Stegostoma tigrinum: one gene and its partners. The protein of the gene in region 1 purifies or fractionates together with the protein of each later gene. This does not show direct contact. Links are inferred from orthologs where the notes say so. Each region holds a gene or a part of one and is shown in the gene's direction. Other genes may lie near its edges. The genes, in order: dcaf7, protein diaphanous homolog 1-like, cct8 and csnk2b.

Region 1 (7,190 bases):
ATTTTCAGAACTTGTGTTTCTTAACGCCTGAAGAGAAAAATTTTCTCTTTAAGGTGTTGGATGAGATGAGTGAAATGGAACTGCGGACAGGGACAGTTTTGAGATAACAGTAAACTGATAGAGAGTCAAGAGTGTGCCTACGGTGCTGAGTGGCATTGAACATGGATCTCAGGATGTGGCAGGAGTAGCTGTCTCAGGAGCATTATAGGTTTTGAAGATAGGTGTAATCCTGGGTGGATTCAAAACATGAAGGATGGAACTTCAGTTGGAATATACGTGGGCTAAGATGAAGCCAGCGGCAGTCACTGAAGAAGGATTAATAGTCCAGTGCTGTTACTGCTACACCCTCATCTGATTCCTGTTTTATTATTTATTCCCAAGCCATCAATTTTTTGCCTTAAGTCTTTCCTGTAATATCCTGCCTTTTTCTGCTTACAATAAGGCCACTTATAGTTCTTCTGGATCACTCACCCTACCATCTTACTACTTCAAAACTTTTGCTATCATCCTTTCTGCCAGGACGTGGGTCTCATCCCAGTTCAGATACAATATGTTTGATTGGTGCATCTTCTTTCTGTCCTAGAATTGCTGACGTGGTGCATGAAAAAGTGCCTCTCTTTCCCACACCAGCCAGTTAGCCTCATATTAATTCCCCTGATACATTTGCTCCATCACCAGTCTGAGAGTCTCACAATAATCCATGTGGCCCTTTCTTATTGACTTGTCTTAAATCCCCATGATCCAGCTCCCTATCTCTCACACCTCTCCTTTCCTGATGCTGGGTCTTCTGTGACCATGTTCTGGGCAAAACTGCCCAGAAACTCTGCCACATTCCTTATGTCAAAGTCATCTGATGCCAGAAGCCCACATCTGTGCGGGTTAGAACTGTTCTAATCTCCAAGTGCTATCTCATCTGGTGCATATTCCCTGTTCGGTGCCATCCATCTACATGCTCCCCACTGGGCAGGCACTCCACCGCCAAGCCTCAACCAACACAGGGAGATGCTGTATTGAGACAGCTTCGCTTGTTCTGGAGAACCATACATTGTAGAAACTACAACTGTCTGCTTTTATTGTGGATAATAGTGGATCGTAACCAAGCTTTGAAGTGCTACCATCACTGGCTGAACAGAAATCACCGTGCTAGAATTGCTCCTGGCTTGTTCCCAACAACCAAACTGAATTGACTGGCCACACCGAACCCAAGAGCAGTGGGTCTTCTACAGTCCTGGGTGATGGTTATTGGTTCCTGATGTATCTCCATGAACCAGGATCTACCTGCCACATCAGGTTATGAATAATGAATAAAAGTGAAGTTGGAAAAGCAGAGCAAGTCAGGCAGCATCCTGTCTGAGCTGCTGTGCCTTTCCAGATTCACATCTATTGACTCTGGCTTCCAGTATCTGCAGTCCCTAATGTTTCTAGGTTATGCACAGTGATAGACAATGACAGAACTAACAAGAAGATATAAAAAACCGAAAGAACTATGGATGCTGTAAATCAGGAACAAAAACCAAGTTGCTGGAAAAGCTCTGGCAGCATCTGTGAAGGAAAAAACACAGAGTTAGCATCTCTGATCCGGTGACCCTGATTTCTGAGACATTGAGAGCTGCGTTCTGAGGAAGGGTCACTGGACCAGAAACATTAACTCTGTTTTTTCCTTCACGGGTGCTACTGAGCTTTTCCAGCAACTTTGTTTACTTAACAAGAAGAGATGCTAGGGAAGGTGATATGATAGCAACATTTAAGAGAGATTTAGCCACAGGAACATGCAGGGAATTGAGGGAAATTGATCATGTACAATCAGGTGGGATTTGAATAGCATCATGGTCAGCATGGACATTGTGAGCCAAAGGGCCTGTTCCTCTGCTGTTCTATGTTCTAAAACAAAGTTCCAAAAACCTTCTAAGCTATGATTGAGGCCTGCAAGTGAGAGCAAAAGACAGGTTGAAGAATTTGCTATCATCAGCCACCAGTGCTGAGTGGACAATTCATCTCGCCTTTCTCTGAGATCCCCAATATTATAAATACCAGTTGTCAGCCAATTTAATTCACTTCACGTGAAATCAAGAAACATTTTAATTGACTGGATGCAGCAAAGATTATTGGATCTTACAACAACCTGACTGTAGTAATAAAGAGTCATGTTCCAGATTTGTGAAGACTGGTCAAGCTGTTCCAAAACAGGTACAATACTGGCACTATCTGACAAGGAAGAAAATTGTCCAGTAATTTCTGTCTGCAAAAAACAATGTAAATTGAATCTTGCAATTATTATTCCATCAATCTTCTCTTGGTCATCCACAAACTGATTGAAATTGATTGTTTCTGTAAGTACTTATCCAACGCTAACCTGTTAATAAATGTTGAGTTTTGGTTGTTTGTCCCACCTCGTTACAGATTTGTGTGAAACATAAGGAAAAAAAGTTTCAATTTCAGAAGTGAGGTGAGGTGAGTGAAATTGTCAGTAAAATTAAAATCAGTTGGAACTAGAAAAATCTTTCCACTGCTTGGAGTCATTACTAGCACAAAGGAAGGTGATTGTGCTTGTTGGCCATTTATCCTCAGCCCAAGGAAAGTGCTGTAGAATTTCTATGAGGTAGTGTTCTAACCCCAGCGTCTTCATCGACAGTCATCTCTCCCCAAAAATCAGAAGTGGGCTGTTTTGCACTGTTGAACACCTTAGATACTAAAACATTCTGTGTTTTCATTCAGGTTTGGATGATAGGTGACAGCTAACGTTTATGTCACTTGTATGACTGGCAATGACCATTTCCAACAGAGATTTTCCCATTGCCATTGCCCAGAAATCTGACTGGACTAGCCTTATAGATTCAATGAATATAAGTGTCGCGAATCGTGCAGTCGGTTCTCCTCTACTCCTCAGAACCAGTCCACCATATGAACATAAGACATAGGAGCGGAAGTAAGGCCATTCAGCCCATCGAGTCCACTCCGCTATTTAATCATGGCTGATGGGCATTTCAACTCCACTTCCCTGCACTCTCCCCGTACCTCTTGATTCCTTGTGAGCTCAAGAATTTATCAACGTCTGCCGTGAAGAATTCAATGTCCTGGCCTCCACTGTGCTCCGTGGTAATGAATTCCACAGGCCCACCACTCTCTGGCTGAAGAAATGTCTCATTTCCATTTTAAATTTACCCCATCTAATTTTAAGGCTGTGCCCACGGGTCCTAGTCTCCCTGCCTAACGGAAACAACTTCCTAAATTCCACCCCTTCTAAACCATACATTATCTTGTACGTTTCTATTAGATCTCCCCTCAACCTTCTAAACGCTAATGAGTACAATCCCAGGATCCTCAGCCGTTCATTGTACATTAAACCTACCATTACAGAGATCATCCATGTGAACCATCTACAAGTTAGGAACATAATGGAGAAAGGTTGAGAGAGGGAGCTGACTTGATAGATTGAGACGGTCAAGGCCTGGATGGGCATGTGTGGGGAGGGTGGTGTAACGGTGGGGGTCCCAGTTTGAATAACCACCATCTGACCCAGAATGACCTCTGGGGAATCTCACTCACGGTTTGCTCTCCACAAACTTCCGGAGTGGGTTAGGGCGGGAATTTGGACATTGTATCATGACCATCCACCAACTGTGGGTGTGAGGGTGATGGGGGAGGGCCGCAGTGCATCAAGCCGGGAACCTGCTTTCGATTGGTCCGCACGGCTGTCATTCAATACCGTCTCGGGACACGGAAAGCCCGCCTCCCCTATGATTGGCTTTCTTCGTTGCCCATCAGAGCGTGTAGGGCGCGCGAATCTTTGGTCCCAATGTATAACTGCCCGCTAATTATCTAATCAGCCACTGGGCCTGCGCCTCTCATACTCACTCTGATTGGTGAAACCACTGTCAATCAAGCTGAAGGTCGTGTTTGATGTTCAAAACTCACCCAGCAACGGACAAAAAAAACCGCCTATCAGGTTCCCAGAATTCTTTTGTCCGCACAGCTGTCAATCAAGGACGGGGTCAGCGCCCGCCTCATTGGCTGGTTTCGATTGGGTAGATTCTATGTCACTCATTCGGCGCTTTAACATTTTTACCAATCAAAGCCAAGATATCAAAAGTCGGCCCCCGTCTTTATACTGGACTGGTTATTCGAACGGTCGTTCGGACAAGGACGGGCTGTGATTGGTGAAAGAGGCTGTCAGTCAGCAGTCGGTTTCCGTTGTGACTTTGAGCGGTTTATTGTTGTTGGGCCCGGGCCCAGGGCAGCAGGGCGACGGGGAGAGTGAGAGTGAGCAAGCGAGGCTGGGCCGCGCTGGGCTCCGAGCGCACGGCCTGACATCGCCATCCCAAGATGAGCATGCACGGCAAGAGGAAGGAGATTTATAAGTACGAGGCGCCATGGACCGTGTACGCCATGAACTGGAGCGTGCGGCCCGACAAGCGGTTCCGCCTGGCGCTCGGCTCCTTCGTCGAGGAGTACAACAACAAGGTGCAGATCGTGGGCCTGGACGAGGAGAGCTCCGAGTTCATCGCTCGCAACACCTTCGACCATCCGTATCCCACCACCAAGATCATGTGGATCCCCGACACCAAGGGCGTCTACCCCGACCTGCTCGCCACCTCCGGAGACTATCTACGGGTCTGGAGGGTAAGGAGATGCCGCAGAGTGAGGCCTGTCTGGGGATTTGGGGATGGCGGGAGTAGGGGAAGAGGGGTGATTAGGGAGAGAAGGGATTGGTTCTGGGAATTGGGGTGATGTAGGAAAAGGTGGGTGGGGAATGAGGGGTTTAGGAAGAGAAAGTAATGAAAGTAAATTAGGGAGAGATGAGAGTGCACGATTTAGGGGTGAAGAGTTGAGGGAGAGTACGGTGGAGTGGACAATAAAGTGGTAGTGGAGGAAATGGCTTGGGAGAAGTATAGTACGCAACATTGTGAGCTATTGGGATAAGTATGGCAGTATTTTTTTCCCCTGTACTTGATAGCCTGTGAGCAGTGAGCCAGGTTGGCAGTTGATTAATCTTTTGGTAATGGGGGTAGTTGTTGTATAGGCAGGTTGAACTTCAGTTTAGTTTGAGAAGTGAATATTCTCCATAATGTAGCACCTTCTTGGTTTTCCCCACAGTTGCGTTGTTGGTCATGATGCATGATTAGTGCTTTGTTATTTTATGCCCTGATTTGTCTGAAGTGAAACCAGTAAAGACACAAGAGGCTTTCAGGTCTTGAAGCTTACTGGTACAGTCTGGAGAGCATTAACGTATTTAAAGTTTTTGAGGAGAGTTGTAGCTCGGGTTGTGGATGAGGGGTGTAGGCTTACTTGCCAAGCCGGTGTGTTTGGTTGCAGATGTTTTGTCACCCTGCTAGATAACATTGTCAGTGCATCTCCAATGAAGCGTCGGTGTTCTGAACCACTTGTTGTTTATGTGCCTCGGTTAGATTAGATTCTCTACAGAGTGGAAACAGGCCCTTAGAGCACCCACCCAGACCCATCTTCCTATAACACTCACACCCCTGAACGCTACAGGCAATTTAACATGGCCAATCCACGTAGCCTGCACATCTTTGGACTGTGACATCTTTGGTTGGCATTACTTCCAACTTTGTGTTTCAGTGGTTTGTATATCAGGTCCAGTTCAGTGTGTTTGGAATGCCAGGTCTCCAGGAATCCCCTGGCATGTCTCTGTTTGGCTTGTGCTATTACGGATGTGTTGTCCCAGTTGAATTTGTGCCGCCCTTTGCCCAAGTGTTTTGAGAAAATTAGTCGTTCCTGTTGGTAACACAACACGGCCAGATGTACAGCAAAGACATATCCAAAATTACCACAAGACTGCTCAGACTCCTAGGTATCAGGGTAGCCCACAAACCAACAACCACCCTGCGACATACACTGACGAATGTAAAGTATCCCATACCCACAACCAATAAAACTATTGTAATCCACAAAATACCACACAAGGACTGTGAAAAACATTTACATCAGCCAAACTAGAAGAAAACTGACAATAAGGATACATGAGCACCAACTAGCTACCAAGAGAATTGACCAATTCTCACTGGCCTCAATACACACTGACAAAGAACAGCACGAATTCGACTGGGGCAACACATCCATAATAGCACAAGTCAAACAGAGGCATGGCAGGGAGTTCGTTGAGGCCTGGCATTCCAACCAGAACTCCATCACCAAACACATAGAACTGGATCTGATGTACACACCACTGAAAACAGAATCAGAAGTAATGCCAACCACCCCAGCAAACTGAGGCATACAAATAACAAGCAGGACGGAGTACCAGTGCTTCACTGGAGGCAAGCCGATGATGTTACCTGGCAAGGTGACAAAACTTCTGCAACCAAACACACAAGCTGTGTGAGCAAATTTATATTGTTCATGTGTTTTATGGATAAAATGTTTGTGAATTTTTAGGAGATGTTTTTGTATGAATGTAATCACTGGTGTAGCATTGTTCTAAAGCTCAAGTAGCAAATCAGAGACCAAAAAGACTTTAGTTTGACTCATACGCTGAGTAACATTAGCTGTGCTCAACCAATCAGTCATTGGTATTCTTCTTGTAATCTCATAATCTTATTCAGCGAAGGAAGAGACAGCAGACAGGGTTTCCCATCAGCTTTTTCTTACTGCTCCGTATGGAGTGTGCTGTAAGTTGCTTGTGTTTGGAAATGAATAAGACTGCTCTCTTTTCTGGACATTACAGTCCTCTTGCTCTGGGTTTGTATGTTAAAAAAATTGACCATGTTCTGGGATTTTGGGTATAGAATCTCATCCCAGTGTCAGAAGGATTGAATCGAGTTGTGAATTGGGAGGAATTCCCCCACTGCTTAGAAGAAATTTAGTTGATCGTTGAGTTATCAGTGCAATAAACAAAAGAGCTAAGAGAAATAATGCTACATCCTTGTCGTCTGGACTTCTACAGAAATTGCTTTCCCTGTCTATTTTTTTTCCATCCTTAATATTTATGTCAAGCTATCTGCTTTATGCTTGGATGAATGTGTGAGAGTTAAACAGGTACAGATTATCTTGCCTTGTAGTAAGGTTGTAGTCCCTATTTGTTTGTTTGTGAAAATATTGATTTGTAGTTGTCACGTACTCTGATACAGTGAAAAGTGTTAGTTTGCATGCTATACAGGCAGATCACATCATACAAAGTGCATCAGGATAGTAGAATGAAGTGTCACAGCCGCAGAGAAGGTTCAGCGAGA
Region 2 (7,415 bases), on another chromosome or scaffold:
TGAAGTGCCTCTTCTGTGCTGTACTGTTCTATGTTCTATGTTCTATGAATGGCCCAATGTGAACCGGAAATGGCTATGTATTGAAAAATTTACATCAGCGCCAAGGGAAATGAGGAAACGTTGAAAGTGTGGGACCTACGTGTTCCTGTAAAGTGAATAGCGGGGCCAAATATTCCAGAGATCCCTGGATATCAGTGAATTTTTCAGTGCTGGATAAAGAGAAAGGGAAGATTTAAGTGGATATCAAGGGCTCAAAACAGCCCTAGAGGAGCACAAAAAGTGCATGAGCTACTTAAAAGAGAAATTTGCAGAGTGAAAAGGCGCATGACAGAGACGGTCAGAAGTTATTTAACCTGAGGGTCACCACACTTCAGTCGAGATGTTGAGAAGGAGAGTCCTTCACAGTAATGTCAATTGGTGCAGAAATTGAGCACATGCCACTGCCATCAGTTTGCATCGCAAACCAGCTCTACAACCAACTGAACTAAGGTAGCATATCCTTTGAAGAGCACCCTCCTAAAGAAGTAGCACAAATGAATCAGGGAGAATTTTGAGTCATAGAGTCACGGAACATAGTGGCAGGCCCTTCGGCCCACCATGTGTATACAGACCAACAAATTATACAAATCCTATTTACCTGCATTTGGTCCATAGCCTAATATGCCCTGACGTTTTAAGTACTCATTCAGATGTCTCTTAAATGTGATGCTTCTTTGATGAGGTGGTTGCTTTTTGAAAAGGTTTTGATTCACATAAATATTAATCTAAGCAAAAAACTGTGATTCATTCAAAACCAAGTGAGTAGGTTGCTGATAGATATTTAACTGTTCAAGGCCAATATGAAAAGATACTCCAGGACTGAAAAGGAAAGAGTTGGTTTAGAATTTATCTGCTATTTATATAAGAAGTTTTCCATAAACTTTCAAAATGAAATGGAAATACTTTAAAGGGTGAAAAGCTAAAACGAGAGAATAAAGTTGCCACCCCAGAAAGCTCGAAGGCCTAGCACGATATAATGTTGCAATCTGAAAAACAGGATATGGAAGTGAATCTGCAAGCTGTACAGCCAACAGACAAGACATTCGAGAGGGAGATCCTGAAACTTCAAGGCAAAACTTCAATGGCACATTTTTCAAATAGAAGCACTTGACAAAGTAAAGAATGACAGTATTGAGCTCAGACAGCAAATTGGCGAAGCGCATATTTAGCCCAACACTGTATCATTGAATGACTGGACGCCAATGATAAGCTGTAAGAAATGATGGAGAGTTTAAAAGAGGAAGGCTAAAAGGCAAGGAGTAATGCAAGTAGAGCTGCAAGCTTTTACTAGAAAAACCGATTGCAAAGAATTTGAAAATCATAAGCTGCAGAACTATTACACAGAGCTTGAGAGTACCAGGCTGAAAACCATCTGCTGCATGTTGCTTTTGCTTTGAAAGAAAGATTTACTTACTGTTACAACCAAGAGAGGAAGAGTAAAGCAGCAACTTCTCTTTCGATTCCTCCCACATCCTACAAAGGGGGTGGCCACGGGCACCTGCATGGGCCCCAGCTATGCCTGCCTCTTTGTAGGTTACGTGGAACAGTCCCTCTTCCGCACCTACACAGGCCCCAAACCCCACCTCTTCCTCCGTTACATTGATGACTGTATCGGCGCCGCCTCTGGCTCCCCAGAGGAGCTCGAACAGTTCATCCACTTCACCAACACCTTCCACCCCAACCTTCAGTTCACCTGGGCCATCTCCAGCACATCCCTCACCTTCCTGGACCTCTCAGCCTCCATCTCAGGCAACCAGCTTGTAACTGATGTCCATTTCAAGCCCACCGACTCCCACAGCTACCTAGAATACACCTCCTCCCTCCCACCCACCCTCCTGCAAAAATTCTATCCCCTATTCCCAATTCCTCCGCCTCCGCCGCATCTGCTCCCACGATGAGGCATTCCACTCCCGCACATCCCAGATGTCCAAGTTCTTCAAGGACCGCAACTTCCTCCACCGCAGTGGTCGAGAACGCCCTTGACTGCGTCTCCCGCAACACATCCCTCATGCCACAACTGCCCAAAGAGGATCCCCCTCGTTCTCACACACCACCCCACCAACCTCGGGATACAACGCATCATCCTCCGACACTTCCGCCATCTACAATCCAACACCACCACCCAAGACATTTTTCCATCCCCACCCTTGTCTGCTTTCCGGAGAGACCACTTTCTCCATGACTCCCTTGTTCAGTCCACACTGCCCTCCAACCCCACTACACACGGCACCTTCCCCTGCAACCACAGGAAATGCTACACTTGCCCCCACACCTCCTCCCTCACCCCTATCCCAGGCCCCAAGATGACTTTCCATATTAAGCAGAGGTTCACCTGCACATCTGCCAATGTGGTATACTGTATCCATTGTACCCGGTGTGGCTTCCTCTACATTGGGGAAACCAAGCGGAGACTTGGGGACCGCTTTGCAGAGCACCTCCGCTTGGTTCGCAATAAACAACTGCACCTCCCAGTCACGAACCATTTTAACTCCCCCTCCCATTCTTTACATGACATGTCCATCATGGGCCTCCTGCAGTGCCACAATGATGCCACCCGAAGTTTGCAGGAACAGCAACTCATATTCCGCTTGGGAACACTGCAGCCCTAATGGTATCAATGTATACTTCACCAGGCTCAAAATCTCCCCTTCCCCCACCACATCCCAAAACCAGCCCAGTTCGTCCCCTCCCCCCACTGCATCACACAACCAGCCCAGCTCTTCCCCTTCTCCCACTGCATCCCAAAACCAGCCCAGCCTGTCTCTGCCTCCCTAATCTGTTCTTCCTCTCACGCATCCCTTCCTTGCACCCCAAGCCGCAACTCCATTTCCTACCTACTAACCACATCCCACCTCCTTGACCTGTCCGTCTTCCCTGGACTGACCTATCCCCTCCCTACCTATACTCTCTTCTCCACCTATCTTCTTTTCTCTCCATCTTCGGTCCGCCTCCCCCTCTCTCCCTATTTATTCCAGAACCCTCACCCCATCCTCCTCTCTGATGAAGGGTCTAGGCCCGAAACGTCAGCTTTTGTGCTCCTGAGATGCTGCTTGGCCTGCTGTGTTCATCCTGCTTCACACTTTATTATCTTGGATTCTCCAGCATCTGCAGTTCCCACTATCTCCTTTTTAACTTTCTCTCTATCAATTTCAAAAAAATTTTTAAAAGTTTTTTAGATTCCCTACGGTGTGGAAACAGGCCCTTCGGCCCAACAAGTCCACACCTCCCCTTGAAGCATCCCACCCAGACCCATCCCCCTATAACCCATACACCCCTAAACACTACGGGCAATTTAGCATGGCTGATCCATCTAGCCTGCACATCTTTGTACTGTGGAAGAAAGCCGGAGCACCCAGAGGAAACCCACGCACACGGGGAGAAGGTGCAAACTCCACACAGACAGTTACCCGAGGCTGGAATTGAACCTGGGTCCCTGGTGCTGTGAGACTGCAGTGTTAACCACTGAGCCATCATGCCGCCACACAGCTATATGAAGTGTCATTTAAAATGCGATTACATCGATCAAAATGAAGAAGCCAATTACAATGTTTACTTGAATGTAAGAAAAAAAGACATTTTGAAATTAAAAATATAATAAAAGCACATCAAATACATACAGCATGACATAACTTTAAAAGAGAAAGCATCTGATACAGACAAGGTTATGCAGTTTTATTGTCCTTTGACTCCTTGAAGTGTTAAGATTTTTAACCTGAGACCAAATGTATTTGTTTTATAAAAACCAAAAGAACTGCAGATGCTGTAAATCAGGAACAAAAACAAAGTTGCTGGGAAAGCTCAGCAGGTCTGGAAGCATCTGTGAAGAAGAAAACAGAGTTAGTGTTTCAGGTCCAGTGACCCTTCCTCAGAACTGATGGTGGCTGGGAAATCATCAGTTTACATGCAGAAATTCGCGAGGTGGGTGGGGTAGGGAGTAAACGATAGGATAGAAGAGAGAGAAAGACACTTGGACAGACAACAGAGTTACTAACGATCAGGCTGGGAGAGTGAATAATTGTTAACGGGGATTGTTAGTGACCAACAACAGGAGGTGTGTAATGGCAAGCTATGTGGTAACAAAGCTGGATGAACACAGCAGGCCAAGCAGCATCAAAGGAGCAGGAAGGCTGACGTTTCGAGCCTAGACCCTTCTTCAGAAAAAAATTCAGGCCTGCTGTGTTCATCCAGCTGTACACTTTGTTATCCCTGGCGTTGAGGGGCTGTGTTTCATACTGTGTCAGTGCCTGCCGCAGGAGTGCAGCATTGCCTTTCTCCCCTGTGCCCCCACCTCGACCCCGCCCCCTCCCGCGAGCTGGCGCTCGCTGAGGGAGCAGCGTGGCTCCAAGGGCAGACGCTGCCCGGTCTCTCACACACAACCATCTGCAACAATTTATACAGAATATTTTAACTTCGTTTGTTCTCTCTGCCCACTTTCTGGAAGGAAACGGCATGTCATTACCATTTTGGCAAAAAGAAGTACCGTGAGGCGAGGGGAGGGACTTACAACACCACACCCTCCACCCCTCCCCGCTGAGCGGGCTCGAGTAGGAATCGCAGCCGGCAGCCCGCGCCTAGGCCCCGGGCTCTGGCCGTCAGCCGTTCACAGCGCTTGGCAAGAGTGGGAGGGGTTTCGAAAGAGAAGGACAGGAACAGTCCACTACACCCCTCCGCATTGAAAGAGCAGCCGAATGAGATACGTTGATCCAAGAGATTAGAGACTGAAAGGTTTCAGGAGAAAATAAGTTTACCACGGGAGCAATAAATAAGTAAAACCATGGAGGGAAGGAATGAGGCTTCAGGTCCTTCTAGGGGGAAGGAAAAGTCCGGTAAAATGAAGAAAAGCCTGGAGGAAGGAGAAAAGAAAACCAAATTTGTGAGTTCTTATGTTTGCCTTTAGAATTATTTTCTAATTTGGGGGGATAGCTGTGAAAGTGTGGAAGGTTTCACCTTTGTCTGAAGACCACAGTTGTGAGAGCAGCGCCCTTACCTGCCTGTGCAGGTACTCTGAAGGCCCCCATCTCTCAAAGGGGCACAGAGGCGTCCCAAAGAACAACCCCTGAGCTGAAATAGGCGCTGCCTCTATATATTTTCTCCCCAGTTGTGTATTTCTTTTTCTTGATTTCATCACGAACACTGTCGAGGCAGTGTCGGTGGTTCGGCGCAGCCGTCCTTTTGGCGCTCTGGCTGCCCCCACTTTTCACGAGAAGGAAGGTTATTGGGAGTATTGAGTTGATAATATGTGTCTATATGGGCGTGCAGAAGGCACTACTTCCCACTTGCAAAAGGAAAGTCTTTTTTTTCGCTATTGACACATTTCTGCTCAACCTGTCATGTTGCCGAGCACACTGACTCTCTCTCGTCCATAGTCATTGGGTCACGCCAAAGTTTAAAACTTGTTTAGCACGTTCGTACTCAGATTTCCGTTGGTCACTGCACTGAATTCAAATCAGCAAGCGAGAATTATTTTTGTTCAGCATTGTATATGTTGAGTGGAACAGAATTTGAACTGCACAAATAAAGTCTCGAAGTTCTTTTAAACTTAGCAATGCTGTATTATGGCTGTTCAGTACCAATCCTACAGTGCAAACATGTGGTCCGGTCAAATTTAAAAGGGGAGCTAAAGGCCATTCCTGTTTTGAGTTTTTGCATGTTTAAGATAGGTGCTCCAGCAGTGACGTATGCTAAAGGTAGTGGGGAGCCAGTTGTTCATTCCACCACCTAGACATGTGGCTAGCTGTCTGTTACACTGGATTCTACAAATCTTGGATCAGTGCTCTCCTGTTAATGTCTTTTAATCAAAGTTGTCTACTTAGCCACATGTTTTGATTTCCAAACGTTGTTATGCTTGTGTATATATGAAAATTTTTACAACAAAATTTTCTGCTGCAATGTTCGTGTTGCTTCTGAGGGTCTGCATTTTCACTTCCTTCACACCACAGTCCCCGGTCTCGTCTTCCTTCAATTTTCTTCTTTTTTTAAACATAGCCTTTCATGATAGTTATCTCAAATGTAACTGTCTTTACATGATAATACTGGCATAAGAGAAATGTTGCTGAGCTAGTTATACATAGATTCAAGCAAACATTTGGAGCACGTGAGCTTGAATCCATCAAAGCAGCTGGTGGAATCTAAACTTTATTAATAAAGTCTGGAATTTTTAAGCTGGTCTTATTCATAGTGACAGTGAAGTTATTGATTGTTGTAAAGATCTAGCTCATTCACTACTATCATTTAAAGGAGGAATTCTACCAGAGTTACCTGTTTTGGTCCACGTGTGGCTTAAGATCCAAAGAAATGTGATTGAGTTTTGACAAACAGTTTTCAAGGACTTTTGGAGTGATGAGCAACAAATGCTGACCTTGTCAGCAATGCCTACTTCCCATGAAAGCCTAAAATAAGTTTAAAAACAAAAAGAACTGCGGATGCTGTAAATCAGGAACAAAAACAAAGTTGCTGGAAAAGCTCAGCAGGTCTGGCAATATCTGTGGAGGAGAAAACAGTTAACATTTCTGGTCCGGTGACCCTTCCTCAGAACATTTGCCTCATTCCTCCTCGTGGGTCCTTGCTGTGCATAGATTGGCTAGATTTGCTTTCGCAACGATGATGACTAAATTTGTTATTCAGCTGTTTAAGGCAAGATATAAAATCAAGTCTTCATACCTGGAAAGCTAGTTGGGTCACCTGGGAAGTATTTCCCTTGTTTAAAGGTTGACTGTATTTGAAAATTGTTTATTTAATTCAAAGTACTGTAGGGAATTCAGGTGTTGTGAAAGATGCTATGTAAGTGTAGTATGTGCTATGTTTGCAACACTTAATTTCGCCATTCTAGAGTCAGAGTTGTAAAGCACGGAAACAGACTCTTTGGCCCAACCCATCCATGCTGACAAATATTCAAACTAATGTAGTCCCATTTGCCAGCATTTGGTCCGTGCTCCTCCAAAGCCATCTTATTCATATACCCATCTATGTGCCTTTCAGGTGTTGTGGTTGCACCAGTTTCCACTCCCTCTGGCAGCTTATTTTGATACGTACACCAGTCGTGCAAGAAAAAGTTGCCCCTTAGGTCCCTTTTAAATCTTGCCCCGCTCACCTTAAACCTATGCTGTCCAGTTTTTGACTCTCCCACCCTGGGAAAAAGCTTATGTATTCACCCTAACCATTGACCTCTGATTTTATAAACCTCCTTAAGTTTACCCTTCAGCCTCTGCTCCAGGGAAAATTGCCCCAACTTCTCCCGTGAGTTCAAACCCTCAAACTCCAGCCATATTCTTGTAAATCTTTTCTGAACCTTTTCAAACTTAACAACATCTTTCCTATAGCAGGGAGACTAGAAGTGAATGTACTATTCCAAAAGTGGTCTAACCAATGTCCTGTGC
Region 3 (7,742 bases), on another chromosome or scaffold:
CAAAAGAAATCAATAACTTTATGCACAAATTAAAAGAAAATAATATGCATTTATCAATATTTGTCCTCATTTCTGCCCTTAAGATGCTAAGTTAAGCCATATGAAGTTAGAAAGAGAACAGAAACCCTTTGGTGATTTGTCCATGTGATCATTCTTCATCTGAAAGCATAGAAACTGAGTGTCATAACTTATTAACTGCAGGGATGACGAGGGCTGAGGCTCAATTCTGCTTTTACACAATCTCTATTTTCCATACAGGGTCACTACTAGTGATTAGGAATACAAATTCATGCTGTTTTATTCAATTACTAGCCAGAATGCTTTTATACCAATTTTCACTCTTCCTGCCACTACTTTCATTTTGATCAGAAATCTGTCACTAAACGCAAAGCAAATCTGTTCTGCCAAGAAGTTACTCAGTCTGCATTTCATCCTCCCAATGTACAGCAGACCGCATAGTGAGCAGTGAAACATTCAATCACATTCCTAACTTGTACTAAATAGATGGTGAACAGTTTTTGTGGGAAGTGAGATATTCACCGAAGAATGCCCAACCTCAGACCATTTGGGGCCTTTAATGTCCACAGTCTACTGTATTTGCTACTCATAATGTGGTCTGTTCTACATTGAGGACACAAAACACAGACTGGGCAAATGCTTTGCAGAACACTTACGTTCTGTCCGCAAAAACAATCCTGAGCTTCCTGCTGTAAGCCACTTCAACCCACCACCATGTTCCCTAGCCAACATCTCTGTTTCAGGCTTGCTGCAGTGCTCCAGCAAAGTTCAGGGTTAAATTGGAGGAAGTACGAAAGGTGGAAAAAGCACAGACTTTAATCTGCTTGGTGGACTTTAATAGTCCTTAAACAAGAATGGCTCTGTAGCAGCAGACTGACCAAGCCAGCCAAACCTGGAAGGACATAGCTGTTAGACTGTGGTAGGCGGTCAGTGCAAGCTGAAAGAATAGCATTTCATTTTCCACTTTGGGACTCTGGAAACTTCGGGACTCAACATCAAGTTCAATAATTTTAGGTCTTGACCACCTTCTCCCATGTCCTTAGGCCGACCCCCACACTTCAGGCCTTGTCATCTCATGAGCTGATACCACAAACATTCAATTGCGAGCTACAAATGGTCCCCATTAGCAGTTGTACATTCTCCCAGGCTGACCTTTGCCGATTCCTGTGTCTACCCAACTATTTTTTTCTCTCTGGGCTCCATCTTTATCTATCATTTACTCCTCCTCCCTCCCTCACCCTATCTTCAATACACAAACCAACCTTTTCCAAGCTAAAAGAGAAAGGTCACTGATCCCAAAACATTAACTCTACTTTCTCTTGACAGATGCTGCCAGATCCACTGAGTTTTTCCTCAGAGTGAATGGGTGACCTTTTAGAGCTAAAATGAGGAGTTTTTTCTTCAACCAGAGAGTGGTGAGTCTGTGGAACTCATTGTCTCAGTAGTCTGTGGAGGCCAAGTCATTGAGTGATGTTAAGACAGAGATAGGTAAGTTCTTGATTGGTAGGATCAGAGGTTGTGGGGAGAAAACAGAAGAATAGGATTGAGAAATACATCAGCCATGATGGAGTAGAAGGGCTGAATCGCCTAATTTTGGTCTTATATCTTATGGCATCATGGATCAGAATCCCAAACTCCCTCCATACACTACATGAATTGCAGTGATGCAAGAAGCCAGCTCACTACCAGCTTCTCAAAATTACAAATTATGGTTGAATACAATTCCGATGCTGCTGTGGCCCACAGTATCTCTTAGATGCCCAATCTTGAATTGCTAGATCAGTGTGAATTCTATCCCATTTACCATGATGATCGTGTCACACAACACCATGAAGGATACCTTCAATGTGAAGACTTCAACTTCACAATGACTGTCCACTGGTGTCTCCTGCCAATACTGTCATGGATTCATGCACTTATGGTGGGTAGATTGGTGAGGCTGAGGTCAAGTGTGTTTTCCCTTCTTGTCGGTCCCTTCATCACCTACCAAAGGCCCAGTCCTTTAGGGTTTGGCTACCTTGGTTAGTCTGGTGTTTTAGAGCCACTCTTGTTTATGGATCATTAAAGTCCCCCAACCAGAATACAGCCTATTCCCTTGCCACCCTCAGTGCTTCCTCCAATTTAACCTTTTGAGTCCAGGCATCATTTTGGTAAATCTATCATGCACTCCTTCTAAAGTTAGAATATTCTTCCTAAACTATGGTACCCAGCACAGCTTATAGTCCTCCAGGTGCAGTCTGAACTGGGTAAAGCTGCAGCTTAATTTCTACACTCTAGCATTCAATTCTTCCGGATATAAATACCAGCATTCCCTTAGCCTTTTTGACTATTTTCTGTACCCATCCAGCATATTTTAAAAATCCATGTACCTGGACTCCAAGTTCCTTTGGACCTTCAGCATTTGTCACCTGTTTCAATTTGGAAAGTAGTCTGTTCTATCCATTAGGTCCGAAGAAAATCTCACATTTGCCTGCATTGAAATCCACATGCCACAGTTTTTCTATTCACTTTTTTCATGACTTCACTGGGAATAGTTTGCTGAAATTGTACCCTGCCATTCAACAGCCATCGCAAAATGTATAAAATCCCCACGAAACATCAAAAATGAATTATGTACCTCAAATGATGGAGAACATGTGGTTTAGTGAGAGGGAAGAACTGAAGAAAATCTGTATTAGTAGAGAAATGCTGTTGTTGAAATTGATCAGATGGAAGGCTGAAAAATCCCCAGGGTCTGATAATCTACATCTGAAAGGTTTAAAGGAACTGGACCGAGAAATAGTGGGTGCATTGGTGGTCACCTTCCAAGATTCTTTAGACTCTGGAACAGCTCCTATAAATCACAGGGTAGCTAATGCAGCTCCACCATTTAAAACGACAGGCGAAGAGAAAACAGGGAATTATACACCAACAGGTCTGATGTCAGTAGTGATGAAGATGCTAAAATCTATTATCCAGGATTTTATAGCAGAGCACTTAGAAAACAGTGGGATTATCAGACACAGTCAGCGGGGATTTACAAAAGGCATATCATGCATGATAAGTTTAGTGGAATTCCTTGAGGGTGTAACCAGTAGATTTGATCAGCAGAGCCAGTGGACGTGGTTTATTTGGACTTTCAGAAGGCTTTTGATAAAGTTCCACATTATTAAAGCACATGGGATTAGGGGTGGTGTAATGAGATTGATAGAAAAAATGGTTAGCAGACCAAAAGAAAATAAAGAGGACAAATAAATAGCTCTTTTTCTAAATGGCAGGCAGAGACTACCCAGATCAGAACTACGATCCCAGCTATTCACGATACAAATTAATGATTTAGATGAGGGAATTAAATGTAGTATCTCAAAATAGGACATGGTAATGACATCGAATGCAGCACATGGCTGATGTCAGCTCTCATCAGCTGTCGCAGCTATCCTGGTCAGGTATTAGCTTTCATATTCTGTCACTACTTGGGGAATGTCAGATGACTCTAGTGGGTGTAGAAGTAGGTCCTAGTTCAGTTTGCGGGAAAATATATAAGGTCTACTTTAGTGATAAAAACATCTGAGCAGCACGTCTTGTTTAATATTCCTCTCTATATAAGCCGAAAACTAGAGCCAGTGTTCTCTGGATTCCTGACAACAATGCTTATCGTTGTTTCCTTACCTTACCAAAATATCCCGACTGACTTCCCATGACCCACAATGCTTGCCCATGCTTATTGGTCCACACTGGCCTCTGATTATAAAAAAAACATTTTAAAAAATTCATCCAAGTTTTTAAATCCCTCTATGATCTCACCACTTCCTTCCCTCTGTGCACCTATAATTCTGGCCATCCACACTCTGTTAGTGGGCATGCCTTCAGCTGTCCATCCTAAGTTTTGAACTTGGCTCACTGAAGTTCTCTGCCTCATTTTCTGAGTTTAAGAAATATATAAATCATAGAAAACAGGTGGCCAATCAACCCATCCTGTATGTCCGAAGTAGAAAAGCAATTCTGTTTAATTCATTATCCAGTTAATGTAGTCTTTGGTAGTGGTTAGCAGTAAGTACCATTGAGGCTCCAATCTTATAATCAACAAAGGAATCAAAAGTTATGGTGAAAAGACAGGAAAGTGGAGTTGAGGATATTAGATCTGTCATGATCTTAATGAATGGCAGAACAGATTCTTATGGTCTTGGGCCATTGAGAGACGGCAAGAGTTGTAAAGACATTCATTAAAGCCTACTTGTTTCATCAAACTTACGGCCGCTTGATCTAATACCTCACATTGATCATTTGTCTGTCCACACCCCTGTAAAACGCATTGGGGTATTTTAATGGGTTATTGTTACAGTTTTGATAAATATGACTACAGGGGAGAGGTTCGATGTACCAGCACCTTCTCTCAAGTATGTTGCACATTTGGAAAACTGAGAAGTGCCAACAGACGCCAATAGTTAACAGCTAACTTGGAGAGGATAATTGCACAGACATTACTCAGTTCAACTTGATGCATGAAATGAATGTAAGGTCAAAGAATTATTCATAGCCAAAGGAAAGTGAAAGCTAGAGTGATGTTTTACTTTGCTTCGGTATCCTCACAGGTTAAGCACAGAAAATTAGGCGAGTAAGGCTTAAAACAACGTAAAATACCAACTTCTGGCAATGAGAATTCCTTCACAACATTACTGGGCGCGGTGACAGCTGGGAGGAAGGGCACGACAGGGCGCGGTGACAGCTGGGACGTAGGGCACGGCTGCGGTGCACTGTGGGTGTTCGTCTCCGGCGTTGTGATCCTGTTGGCTGGGGTTTGAGCGAGGAAAAGTATCTGGAAATGGCGATGCACATCCCTCGAGCGCCGGGCTTGGCTCAGATGCTAAAAGACGGAGCTAAGGTAAGTTTGTGAAACGGAGAGCCCGTGGAAGGGACATCAGGGACTCGGATTGAGGGATGTTTCGGTCGTTGAAAGGGGAGCGCGTGATGTCAGAAAGTTCCAGAAAGGCCGAGAAGCATCGGCGGCGGCCGACGGATTCCCGCCGCGAACCTCCCTATTTTCACTGGTCCAGGCACTCTGCTCGAACCCACTGTATACCGAGGCTTGAGACTATCTTCGACCTCCATGTGTTCGGGGCGGTCAGAGGCCTAGTGTCGGGAGGTGGAACGATGGAGATGCCGGGCCTCCCCCGCCCCCCCACTCAGAGTGCCTAATCCACGCTGTCCCTGTCTTTAATCTGCCCCCAAACTGTTCCCCAGTCCGCCATCCACTCCCCCCACCCTGTCCCCAGTCCGCGATCCACTCCCCCCACCCTGTCCCCAGTCCGCGATCCACTCCCCCCACCCTGTCCCCAGTCCGCGATCCACTCCCCCCACCCTGTCCCCAGTCCGCGATCCACTCCCCCCACCCTGCCCCCAGTCCGCGATCCACTCCCCCCACCCTGCCCCCAGTCCGCCATCCACTCCCCCCACCCTGCCCCCAGTCCGCCATCCACTCCCCCCACCCTGCCCCCAGTCCGCCATCCACTCCCCCCACCCTGCCCCCAGTCCGCCATCCACTCCCCCCACCCTGCCCCCAGTCCGCCATCCACTCCCCCCACCCTGCCCCCAGTCCGCCATCCACTCCCCCCACCCTGCCCCCAGTCCGCCATCCACTCCCCCCACCCTGCCCCCAGTCCGCCATCCACTCCCCCCACCCTGCCGCCATCCACTCCCCCCACCCTGCCGCCATCCACTCCCCCCACCCTGCCGCCATCCACTCCCCCCACCCTGCCCCCAGTCCGCCATCCACTCGCCGATCCACATCCCCCCCCGCATCCCCTTTGCTGCGAATGTAAATCGTAATTCTGCAAGTTGGAATTGTTATTTATCTGTATTCATTTACATTTCAGCATTTTTCAGGTTTGGAGGAGGCAGTTTACAGGAATATTCAAGCTTGCAAGGAACTGGCTCAGACTACCCGTACAGCTTATGGTCCAAATGGTACAATTATATTGCCTCTCATAATTTGGAGCAAGTGTTTTGTTTCAGTTTTACTACTGGTGTTTATTTGTTAAAAATCTTCCTTTTAGGAATGAATAAAATGGTCATCAATCATGTGGAGAAACTTTTTGTTACCAGTGATGCTGCTACTATACTACGAGAATTGGAGGTAGGTGCTGAGTCACTTCACTTCTAACAATCCAGTTTCAAGATATTTTCTAATCAACTCCTCTGAGGTCTTATTGCTCACCTCTGATGCAGGTAGAACTTGAATCTAGGTCCAGAAGTAGGAGTTCTGCCACTGCACCATTAGAGGCATTAGCAATCCAGTTTCAATATTTTGTGTGCAACCTGTACAGAAATGTTTGTGTATACATATTGACCCAGGCCTCCTAGCTCAGAGGCAGGGATATTAAGACTGTGCCACAACAGTTCTGTTCATTCTCAGGCTCTTTGGGCTGAAAACTGCCACTAACATTGAAACTCTTAGTTATCTCTTATTTACAAGGCATGTGCTTTCACTGACTAAGCCTCAATACCACCTCAGTCCAGTTTGATATACCAATATTAGTATCAGCTCTTGACTTGCAAAGTAAAGCTTTCTTAATTGAAGGCTAGAGAGCCAGAGAAAATGATAATTCTTTCAAAGGCTGGGTGACAAGATTGTGTTTTTTTTAAATAAAAGTTTTTGTAAGTTTGGATGTTTACTTTTTAATATTAGTGATATTCACTGAGCTGATGCATATTTTCATTGCATTCCATTCAGAAGAGTATATGGAAATGCGGTTCAAACCCAACCCTCAATCCCATCAGTGATCTCCTTTTTAGGGTACACAAATTTACATTCCTTTCTTTGCTTAGAGAGAAAGTCAAATGTTGGTAATTTTGTTTTCTTATGTTTAGATCTAAACTTTTAAATAGGTAAGTATCAATTGATTTGGAATTAACTTAGCTCTGGTTTGAAGCAAATTGATCTTCAGCCTTGCTTAAAATTTGTGTATTTTGTGTATCCCTTTACCTATGATAAATAGATTTCCTTTTGCCACTCGTATAAAATTCTCATCTCAATTCATCTTACATGACCACTCCCCTGCAGCATCTTAATCAGCTCTGCCTTTTGTGTAATCCTAATTTTTGATCCCCTTTTAACTGTTGAGCCTTCTGCTGTTTGGGTTGTAAGTTTTTGAAAACCTTCCTTTGAACTCTCTGAGCATCTATCTTCTCTTTGCCAATGTGCTTTAAAACTTATCTATTTGAAGACACTTTTAGTTTTCCTATCCTAATATCAATATATTTGTGAAGCTCCTTGAAAAGCCTACTTAGGTACTGTAAATAAAAGTTGTGAAAATTCATCTATACGTTTTGAGATGAGCATCAAAACATCCTTTTAGATGTTTTTCTGTAGCAGTAACTATAGTCATTTGAACCAGTCTTAATACTTGCCCACAGCATGGAAATTGTTATTGTAAACAATTAAATGCATCAAGAATTTTTGTTCTACTTTTTGCTAATTTGTTTTAATTCTTGTACTTACTGGATGCAGGTTCAACATCCTGCTGCAAAGATGGTGGTAATGGCTTCCCATATGCAGGAACAAGAGGTTGGAGATGGAACAAATTTTGTTCTAGTTTTTTCTGGCGCACTACTGGAGCTAGCTGAGGAACTTCTGCGAATGGGTCTTTCAGTTTCAGAGGTTGGTAGATTTCAAAAAAGTTTTGCTTTCATTTCAGTTTTGGCGTGTGTTTTTTTTAATTCCTGGGATATTGATGCTGCTGGCCAGG
Region 4 (6,839 bases), on another chromosome or scaffold:
AAATTACAGCACAGGAACAGGCCCCTCGGCCCCTCCAAAACGCACTGATCCAGATCCTCTAAGCCTGTCAGCTATTTTACAAGGATCTGTATCCCTCTACTTCCTGCTCATTCATGTATCTGTCTAGACACATCTTAAAAGACGCTAACGTGTCTGCGTCTACCACCTCCACTGGCAACGTGTACCAGGCACCCACCACCCTCTGTGTAAAGAACTTTCCACGCATATCTCCCTTAAAAACTTTCCTCCTCTCACTTTGAACTCATGACCCCTTGTAATTGAGTTCCCCACTCTGGGAAAAAGCTTCTTGCTATCCACCCTGTCTATACCCCTCATGATTTTGTAGACCTCAATCAGGTCCCTACTCAATCTCCGTCTTTCTAATGAAAATAATCCTAATCTACTCAACCTCACTTCATAGCTAGCACCCTCCATACCAGGCAACATCCTGGTGAACCTCCTCTGCACCCTCTCCAAAGCATCCACATCCTTTTGGTAATGTGACGACCAGAACTGTACACAGTACTCCAAATGTGGCCGAATCAAAGTCCTATACAACTGCAACATGACCTGCCAACTCTTGTACTCAATACCCTGCCCAATGAAGGAAAGCATGCCATATGCCTTCCTGACCACCCTATTTACTTGCATTGTCACCTTCAGGGAACAATGGACCTGAACACCCAGATCTCTCTGTTCATCCATTTTCCCGAGGACTTTTCCATTTACTGTATAGTTCACTCTTGAATTAGATCTTCCAAAATGCATCACCTCGCATTTGCCCGGATTGAACTCCATCTGCCATTTATCTGCCCAACTCTCCAGTCTATCTATATTCTGCTGTAATTTCTGACAGTCCCGTTCACTATCAGCTACTCCACCAATCTTAGTGTCATCAGCAAACTTGCTGATCAGACCACCTACACCTTCCTCCAAATCATTTACATATATCACAAACAACAGTGGTCCCAGCACAGATCCCTGTGGAACACCACTGGTTACAGGTCTCCAATTTGAGACACCCCCTTCCACTATAAATGTGTCTGATAGGGACAACGTAGAGAGAGAACTTTACTCTGTATCTAACCCCATGCTGTAGCTGTCCCAGGAGTGTTTATTGGGGGATGACTGTGAATCCATTGTCAATTGTTGGGAAAAACCCATCTGGCTCACTAATGCCGTTTAGGGAAGGAAACTGCCAGCCTTACCTAGTCTGGCCTACACGTGACTCCAGACCCACAGCAATGTGGTTGACTCTAAACTGACCTCTAGGCAATTAGGGATGGACTATAAATATGGCTGAGCCAGCGACACCCACATTCAATGAATAAAAAAAATTTAAAAGCCACGCAACAGCAAAACACTCAAATAGCAAAGAAACAAAACCTGGAAGTGCCTGGGAAAGTCACTTTCTGTTTTTATTTCAGCTTCAACTATATAACTTCCAGGAAATATCTTCAAAATAAAACCAGAAAAAATCCCAAAGCCTTTTGAGTGATCTATTTACAGAAGGGGAAAGCCCAGGTGTCACTTCTGCATTACAGATGGACCAATCCTTCAGACACAGGCACTCAAAATGAACCTCAACAGCGCAAGTGCCTTCATACCACCACCTGATTGTCTCTAAGGGGGAGATGCCGTGTTGAGCATGATCAGATCATTAATCCTGGTTTTCCAATGCCTCCGCGGCACCTCCCCTCATTCTGTAATTGCCCCCAGACTCACAACCCTCCAAATACATGCTCCTCTCAGCCTGATCTGTTGGTCATTCTCACACAGTACCACACCAGGGCCATGCCTTCAGATTCCCAGGCAGCAAACTCTAGCTTTGGAATTGCACTCTCCTTGCCTTCCCACCTTACTTTCCTCATCCCAAACCGGCCTCTCTCACCAAACTTCCATCGTTGTAATCTAAATTCTCCTCACATGGCCAGATGACCCGGCTTTGTTTCATCTGCTTCCCCCAAATACTCAGGCAGTCCATCAGAACCAGGGTAACTTGTCTGAACTGGTTCCAAGGTGTTAGGCTCGTCAGTCCCACACTCAGCTGTCCTTACACAGTCTGATCTGAACAGGGGGAAACCAGACCCACAGCCAATTGTTTTGGAGGGAGCGAGGCGGCATACTTAACACTGAAAATGGCCCAGACTGCAGACCCACAGCAATGTGGCTGACTCTTAGCTGCCCTCCAGGCCATTAGGGATGGGAAACAGAGATAATGGGAACTGCAGAAAAAGGGTCTGAAGAACGGTCTATGCCTGAAACGTCAGCTTTTGCGCTCCTGAGGTGCTGCTTGGCCTGCTGTGTTCATCCAGCCCCACACTTTGTTATCAGCGATGGGAAATAAATGCTCCCTAGGCAGTGACACCCACATGAAGAGACCAAGGATGGGCATGTGAGGTGGGGGTGGGGGGCGTGACGATGAGGTGAAATGGGTGATGACCAGGAGGTTAGGTTGGCTGTTACGAGCCAGGTTAAGGTGCTTGGCGAAACAGTCACCAAGTGTACATTTGGTCTCACCAACAGAGAGAAGGCCACATCGAGAGCACTGAATGCATAGACTAGGTTGTGGGAGATACAGGTGAAGCTCTGTCTCACCTGGAAGGACCGTCTGGGGCCACAGTGGGAGTGGTTTGTGGGCAGGTGTTGCATCTATTACAGTTACAAGGGAAGGTATTGGGTCGGAGGGGTTGGTGGGTAAGGGTGACTGGAAGTCGGTCATGTCTGGGGCGGGGCGGGGGTTAGGGAAGATCGGAAGTGGGTCATGCCGTGGTGGGGGGGGGTTGAGGAAGTGTGACCGGAAGTGGTTCATGCCATGGTGGGGGGGGGTGTTGAGGAAGTGTGACCGGAAGTGGGTCATGCTGTGGTGGGGAGGGAGGGGGTTGAGGAAGTGTGACTGGAAGTGGGTCATGCCATGGTGGCGGGGGAGTTGAGGAAGTGTGACCGGAAGTGGGTCATGCCATGGTGGGGGGGGGGTGTTGAGGAAGTGTGACCGGAAGTGGGTCATGCCATGGTGGGGGGGGGTGTTGAGGAAGTGTGACCGGAAGTGGGTCATGCTGTGGTGGGGGGGTTGAGGAAGTGTGACCGGAAGTGGGTCATGCCATGGTGGGGAGGGAGGGGGTTGAGGAAGTGTGACTGGAACTGGGTTATGCCATGGTGGGGGGGGGGGGTGTTGAGGAAGTGTGACCAGAAGTGGGTCATGCTGTGGTGGGGGGGGGGTGTTGAGGAAGTGTGACCAGAAGTGGGTCATGCTGTGGTGGGGGGGGGGGCGGATGAGCAAGTGTGACTGGAAGTGGGTCATGCCGTGGTGGGGCGGGGTTGAGGAAGGGTGACCGGAAGTGGGTGGTGCCTGCGGGGAGGGGGTGACCGGAAGTGGGTCGTGCCTGCGGGGAGCGGGGTGACCGGAAGTGGGTCGTGCCTGGGTGCGTGGAGGGGCAGGAAATGAGGAGAAACCCTGGGGATAGGGCGGAGGGACACACAATAATAATGAAAGCCGGCAGATCGGTAACACACGAAACAACTACTCCCCTGACCGGTACATCTTAACGGACTTCTTTCACTCCCACCTCCCCTCATAGAGAAAGCAAACATACGCCCTGCACCCCCGTCCCCCAGATGGGAAAATACACGCGGTTTTACACAGTTAGAGATGTAACACCTACAAGGTAACCGTGGTTAGCCTCTGTGAGTGGGCCGCACGGCGGGGGCGGGGCTAAGGCTAGGCGTCAGCAAGGGAAGGGGGCGTGGCTAGTGTGGGGGCGGGAAGCACTGCGACGTCAGACTTACGTGGGCGGGGCGTGGAATGGGCGGGGTCAGAGCATGTCACGTGGTGTTCCCCGCCCCGCCGAGACCAATCAGAGAGGGCGCCGGGCCGGACGGATCCGTTGATTGGGCTCCGCTCGTCCTTCTGCGCGTTTCCTTTTCGCTCTCGACCGGCGGCTATTATTTTTGACAGCCAGCCCTTTTGTTTAAAAAAAAGAAAACCGCTCGATCCTATTCGATCGGTAACTATTTAACGCGGCGGCCTGAGCGCTTCCGACTACCTCTGTCGTGCGCGGAATCGACGAGCGTTGCGCGGGCGGCTTGGTCCTGCGGCGCGCTGCCTGACGGTAAATGTAGTCGCGGGGTTTGATGGCGGTGCACCCGGAAGTGACGCATTCTCTCCCCACCCCCTTCCGCCCCCATTCTCGGGAAGTCGGGCCACGTTTGATGGTGGGTCTTTCCCCCTCGCTCCTCACATCGACTGAAATCCCACGCACGGCCTACAGGCTGCCGAGCCCGAGGTTAGACATCACCGCCCTTATCGCCTGGTTTGTTTCAATGCGGTGTTTTGTTGCTGTGAGCTTCTCCCCCCCTCCCCCATCCCCCCTCCCTCTCTGGGGTAGAGGCCAGGTATGGCTGGTTCTGCTGTTGCATGTCACAAGGAGGAGGACGAGAGATCTTCTGCACGTCGCTCCATGTTTTATGATGAGCCTGCAGGTTGGGGGGCTGGGGCTTAGTGGGGTTTAGTGGGTAGTGGGGTTTAGTGGGTAGTGGGGTTTAGTGGGGCGTAGTGGGGTTTAGTGGGTAGTGGGGTTTAGTGGGTAGTGGGGTTTAGTGGGTAGTGGGGCGTAGTGGGGTTTAGTGGGTAGTGGGGTTTAGTGGGGCGTAGTGGGGTTTAGTGGGTAGTGGGGCGTAGTGGGGTTTAGTGGGTAGTGGGGTTTAGTGGGTAGTGGGGTTTAGTGGGTAGTGGGGCGTAGTGGGGTTTAGTGGGTAGTGGGGCGTAGTGGGGTCTAGTGAGTAGTGGGGCGTAGTGGGGTTCAGTGGGGCGTAGTGGGGTTTAGTGGGTAGTGGGGTTTAGTGGGTAGTGGGGCGTAGTGGGGTCTAGTGAGTAGTGGGGCGTAGTGGGGTTCAGTGGGGCAGTGGGGTGTAGTGGGGTTTAGTGGGTAGTGGGGTTTAGTGGGTAGTGGGGTTTAGTGGGTAGTGGGGCGTAGTGGGGTGTAGTGGGGTTTAGTGGGTAGTGGGGTGTAGTGGGGCGTAGTGGGGTGTAGTGGGGTTTAGTGGGTAGTGGGGGGTAGTGGGGTTTAGTGGGTAGTGGGGGGTAGTGGGGTTTAGTGGGTAGTGGGGCGTAGTGGGGTTTAGTGGGTAGTGGGGCGTAGTGGGGTTTAGTGGGTAGTGGGGCGTAGTGGGGTTTAGTGGGTAGTGGGGCGTAGTGGGGTTTAGTGGGTAGTGGGGCGTAGTGGGGTTTAGTGGGTAGTGGGGCGTAGTGGGGTTTAGTGGGTAGTGGGGCTCAGTGGGGCGTAGTGCGGTTTAGTGCGTAGTGGGGCTCAGTGGGGTTTAGTGGGTAGTGGGGCGTAGTGCGGTTTAGTGCGTAGTGGGGCTCAGTGGGGTTTAGTGGGTAGTGGGGCTCAGTGGGGCGTAGTGGGGTGTAGTGGGGTTTAGTGGGTAGTGGGGTTTAGTGGGGCGTGGGGTTTAGTGGGGCGTAGTGGGTAGTGGGGCGTAGTGGGTAGTGGGGCGTAGTGGGGCGTAGTGGGTAGTGGGGCGTAGTGGGGCGTAGTGGGTAGTGGGGCGTAGTGGGGTGTAGTGGGGCGTAGTGGGGTTTAGTGGGTAGTGGGGCGTAGTGGGGTTTAGTGGGTAGTGGGGCGTAGTGGGGTTTAGTGGGTAGTGGGGCGTAGTGGGGTTTAGTGGGTAGTGGGGCGTAGTGGGGTGTAGTGGGGTTTAGTGGGTAGTGGGGTTTAGTGGGTAGTGGGGTTTAGTGGGTAGTGGGGTGTAGTGGGGTTTAGTGGGGCGTAGTGGGGTTTAGTGGGGCGTAGTGGGGTTTAGTGGGTAGTGGGGTGTAGTGGGGTTTAGTGGGGCGTAGTGGGGTTTAGTGGGTAGTGGGGTTTAGTGGGTAGTGGGGTTTAGTGGGTAGTGGGGTTTAGTGGGTAGTGGGGTTTAGTGGGTAGTGGGGCGTAGTGGGGTTTAGTGGGTAGTGGGGCGTAGTGGGGTCTAGTGAGTAGTGGGGCGTAGTGGGGTTTAGTGGGTAGTGGGGTTTAGTGGGTAGTGGGGCGTAGTGGGGTCTAGTGAGTAGTGGGGCGTAGTGGGGTTCAGTGGGGCAGTGGGGTTCAGTGGGGCAGTGGGGTGTAGTGGGGTTCAGTGGGGCGTAGTGGGGTTTAGTGGGTAGTGGGGTTTAGTGGGTAGTGGGGCGTAGTGGGGTGTAGTGGGGTTTAGTGGGTAGTGGGGTGTAGTGGGGCGTAGTGGGGGGTAGTGGGGTTTAGTGGGTAGTGGGGGGTAGTGGGGTTTAGTGGGTAGTGGGGCGTAGTGGGGTTTAGTGGGTAGTGGGGCGTAGTGGGGTTTAGTGGGTAGTGGGGCGTAGTGGGGTTTAGTGGGTAGTGGGGCGTAGTGGGGTTTAGTGGGTAGTGGGGCGTAGTGGGGTTTAGTGGGTAGTGGGGCGTAGTGGGGCTCAGTGGGGCGTAGTGCGGTTTAGTGGGGTTTAGTGGGTAGTGGGGCGTAGTGCGGTTTAGTGCGTAGTGGGGCTCAGTGGGGTTTAGTGGGTAGTGGGGCTCAGTGGGGCGTAGTGGGGTGTAGTGGGGTTTAGTGGGTAGTGGGGTTTAGTGGGTAGTGGGGTTTAGTGGGTAGTGGGGTTTAGTGGGGCGTGGGGTTTAGTGGGGCGTGGGGTTTAGTGGGGCGTGGGGTTTAGTGGGGCGTAGTGGGTAGTGGGGCGTAGTGGGTAGTGGGGCGTAGTGGGTAGTGGGGCGTAGTGGGTAGTGGGGCGTAGTGGGGCGTAGTGGGGTTTAGTGGGTAGTGGGGCGTAGTGGGGTTTAGTGGGTAGTGGGGCGTAGTGGGGTTTAGTGGGTAGTGGGGCGTAGTGGGGTTTAGTG

The links.
Region 2: the proteins of dcaf7 (region 1) and protein diaphanous homolog 1-like purify together in Homo sapiens (affinity purification with mass spectrometry; 5 studies listed by BioGRID and IntAct, counting the BioPlex papers as one, with this or other methods). This does not show direct contact. The link is inferred for Stegostoma tigrinum from reciprocal best matches to the Homo sapiens genes DCAF7 and DIAPH1.
Region 3: the proteins of dcaf7 (region 1) and cct8 purify together in Homo sapiens (affinity purification with mass spectrometry; 3 studies listed by BioGRID and IntAct, with this or other methods). This does not show direct contact. The link is inferred for Stegostoma tigrinum from reciprocal best matches to the Homo sapiens genes DCAF7 and CCT8.
Region 4: the proteins of dcaf7 (region 1) and csnk2b purify together in Homo sapiens (affinity purification with mass spectrometry; 4 studies listed by BioGRID and IntAct, with this or other methods). This does not show direct contact. The link is inferred for Stegostoma tigrinum from reciprocal best matches to the Homo sapiens genes DCAF7 and CSNK2B.

What each region holds. Positions count from the first base shown.
Region 1 is NC_081384.1:38,612,656-38,619,845, forward strand, and holds the start of dcaf7 (DDB1- and CUL4-associated factor 7), read left to right. Parts: upstream 1-4,168; 5' UTR 4,169-4,323; coding exon 4,324-4,620; intron 4,621-7,190. UniProt on the Homo sapiens protein: Involved in craniofacial development. Acts upstream of the EDN1 pathway and is required for formation of the upper jaw equivalent, the palatoquadrate. The activity required for EDN1 pathway function differs between the first and second arches.
Region 2 is NC_081366.1:6,063,383-6,070,797, forward strand, and holds the start of protein diaphanous homolog 1-like, read left to right. Parts: upstream 1-4,399; 5' UTR 4,400-4,813; coding exon 4,814-4,912; intron 4,913-7,415. UniProt on the Homo sapiens protein: Actin nucleation and elongation factor required for the assembly of F-actin structures, such as actin cables and stress fibers. Binds to the barbed end of the actin filament and slows down actin polymerization and depolymerization.
Region 3 is NC_081365.1:60,912,019-60,919,760, forward strand, and holds the start of cct8 (T-complex protein 1 subunit theta), read left to right. Parts: upstream 1-4,728; 5' UTR 4,729-4,819; coding exon 4,820-4,879; intron 4,880-5,870; coding exon 5,871-5,961; intron 5,962-6,050; coding exon 6,051-6,130; intron 6,131-7,504; coding exon 7,505-7,654; intron 7,655-7,742. UniProt on the Homo sapiens protein: Component of the chaperonin-containing T-complex (TRiC), a molecular chaperone complex that assists the folding of actin, tubulin and other proteins upon ATP hydrolysis.
Region 4 is NC_081387.1:27,162,010-27,168,848, forward strand, and holds the start of csnk2b (casein kinase II subunit beta), read left to right. Parts: upstream 1-3,833; 5' UTR 3,834-4,004; exon of another isoform or gene 4,005-4,119; intron 4,120-4,150; exon of another isoform or gene 4,151-4,283; intron 4,284-6,839. UniProt on the Homo sapiens protein: Regulatory subunit of casein kinase II/CK2.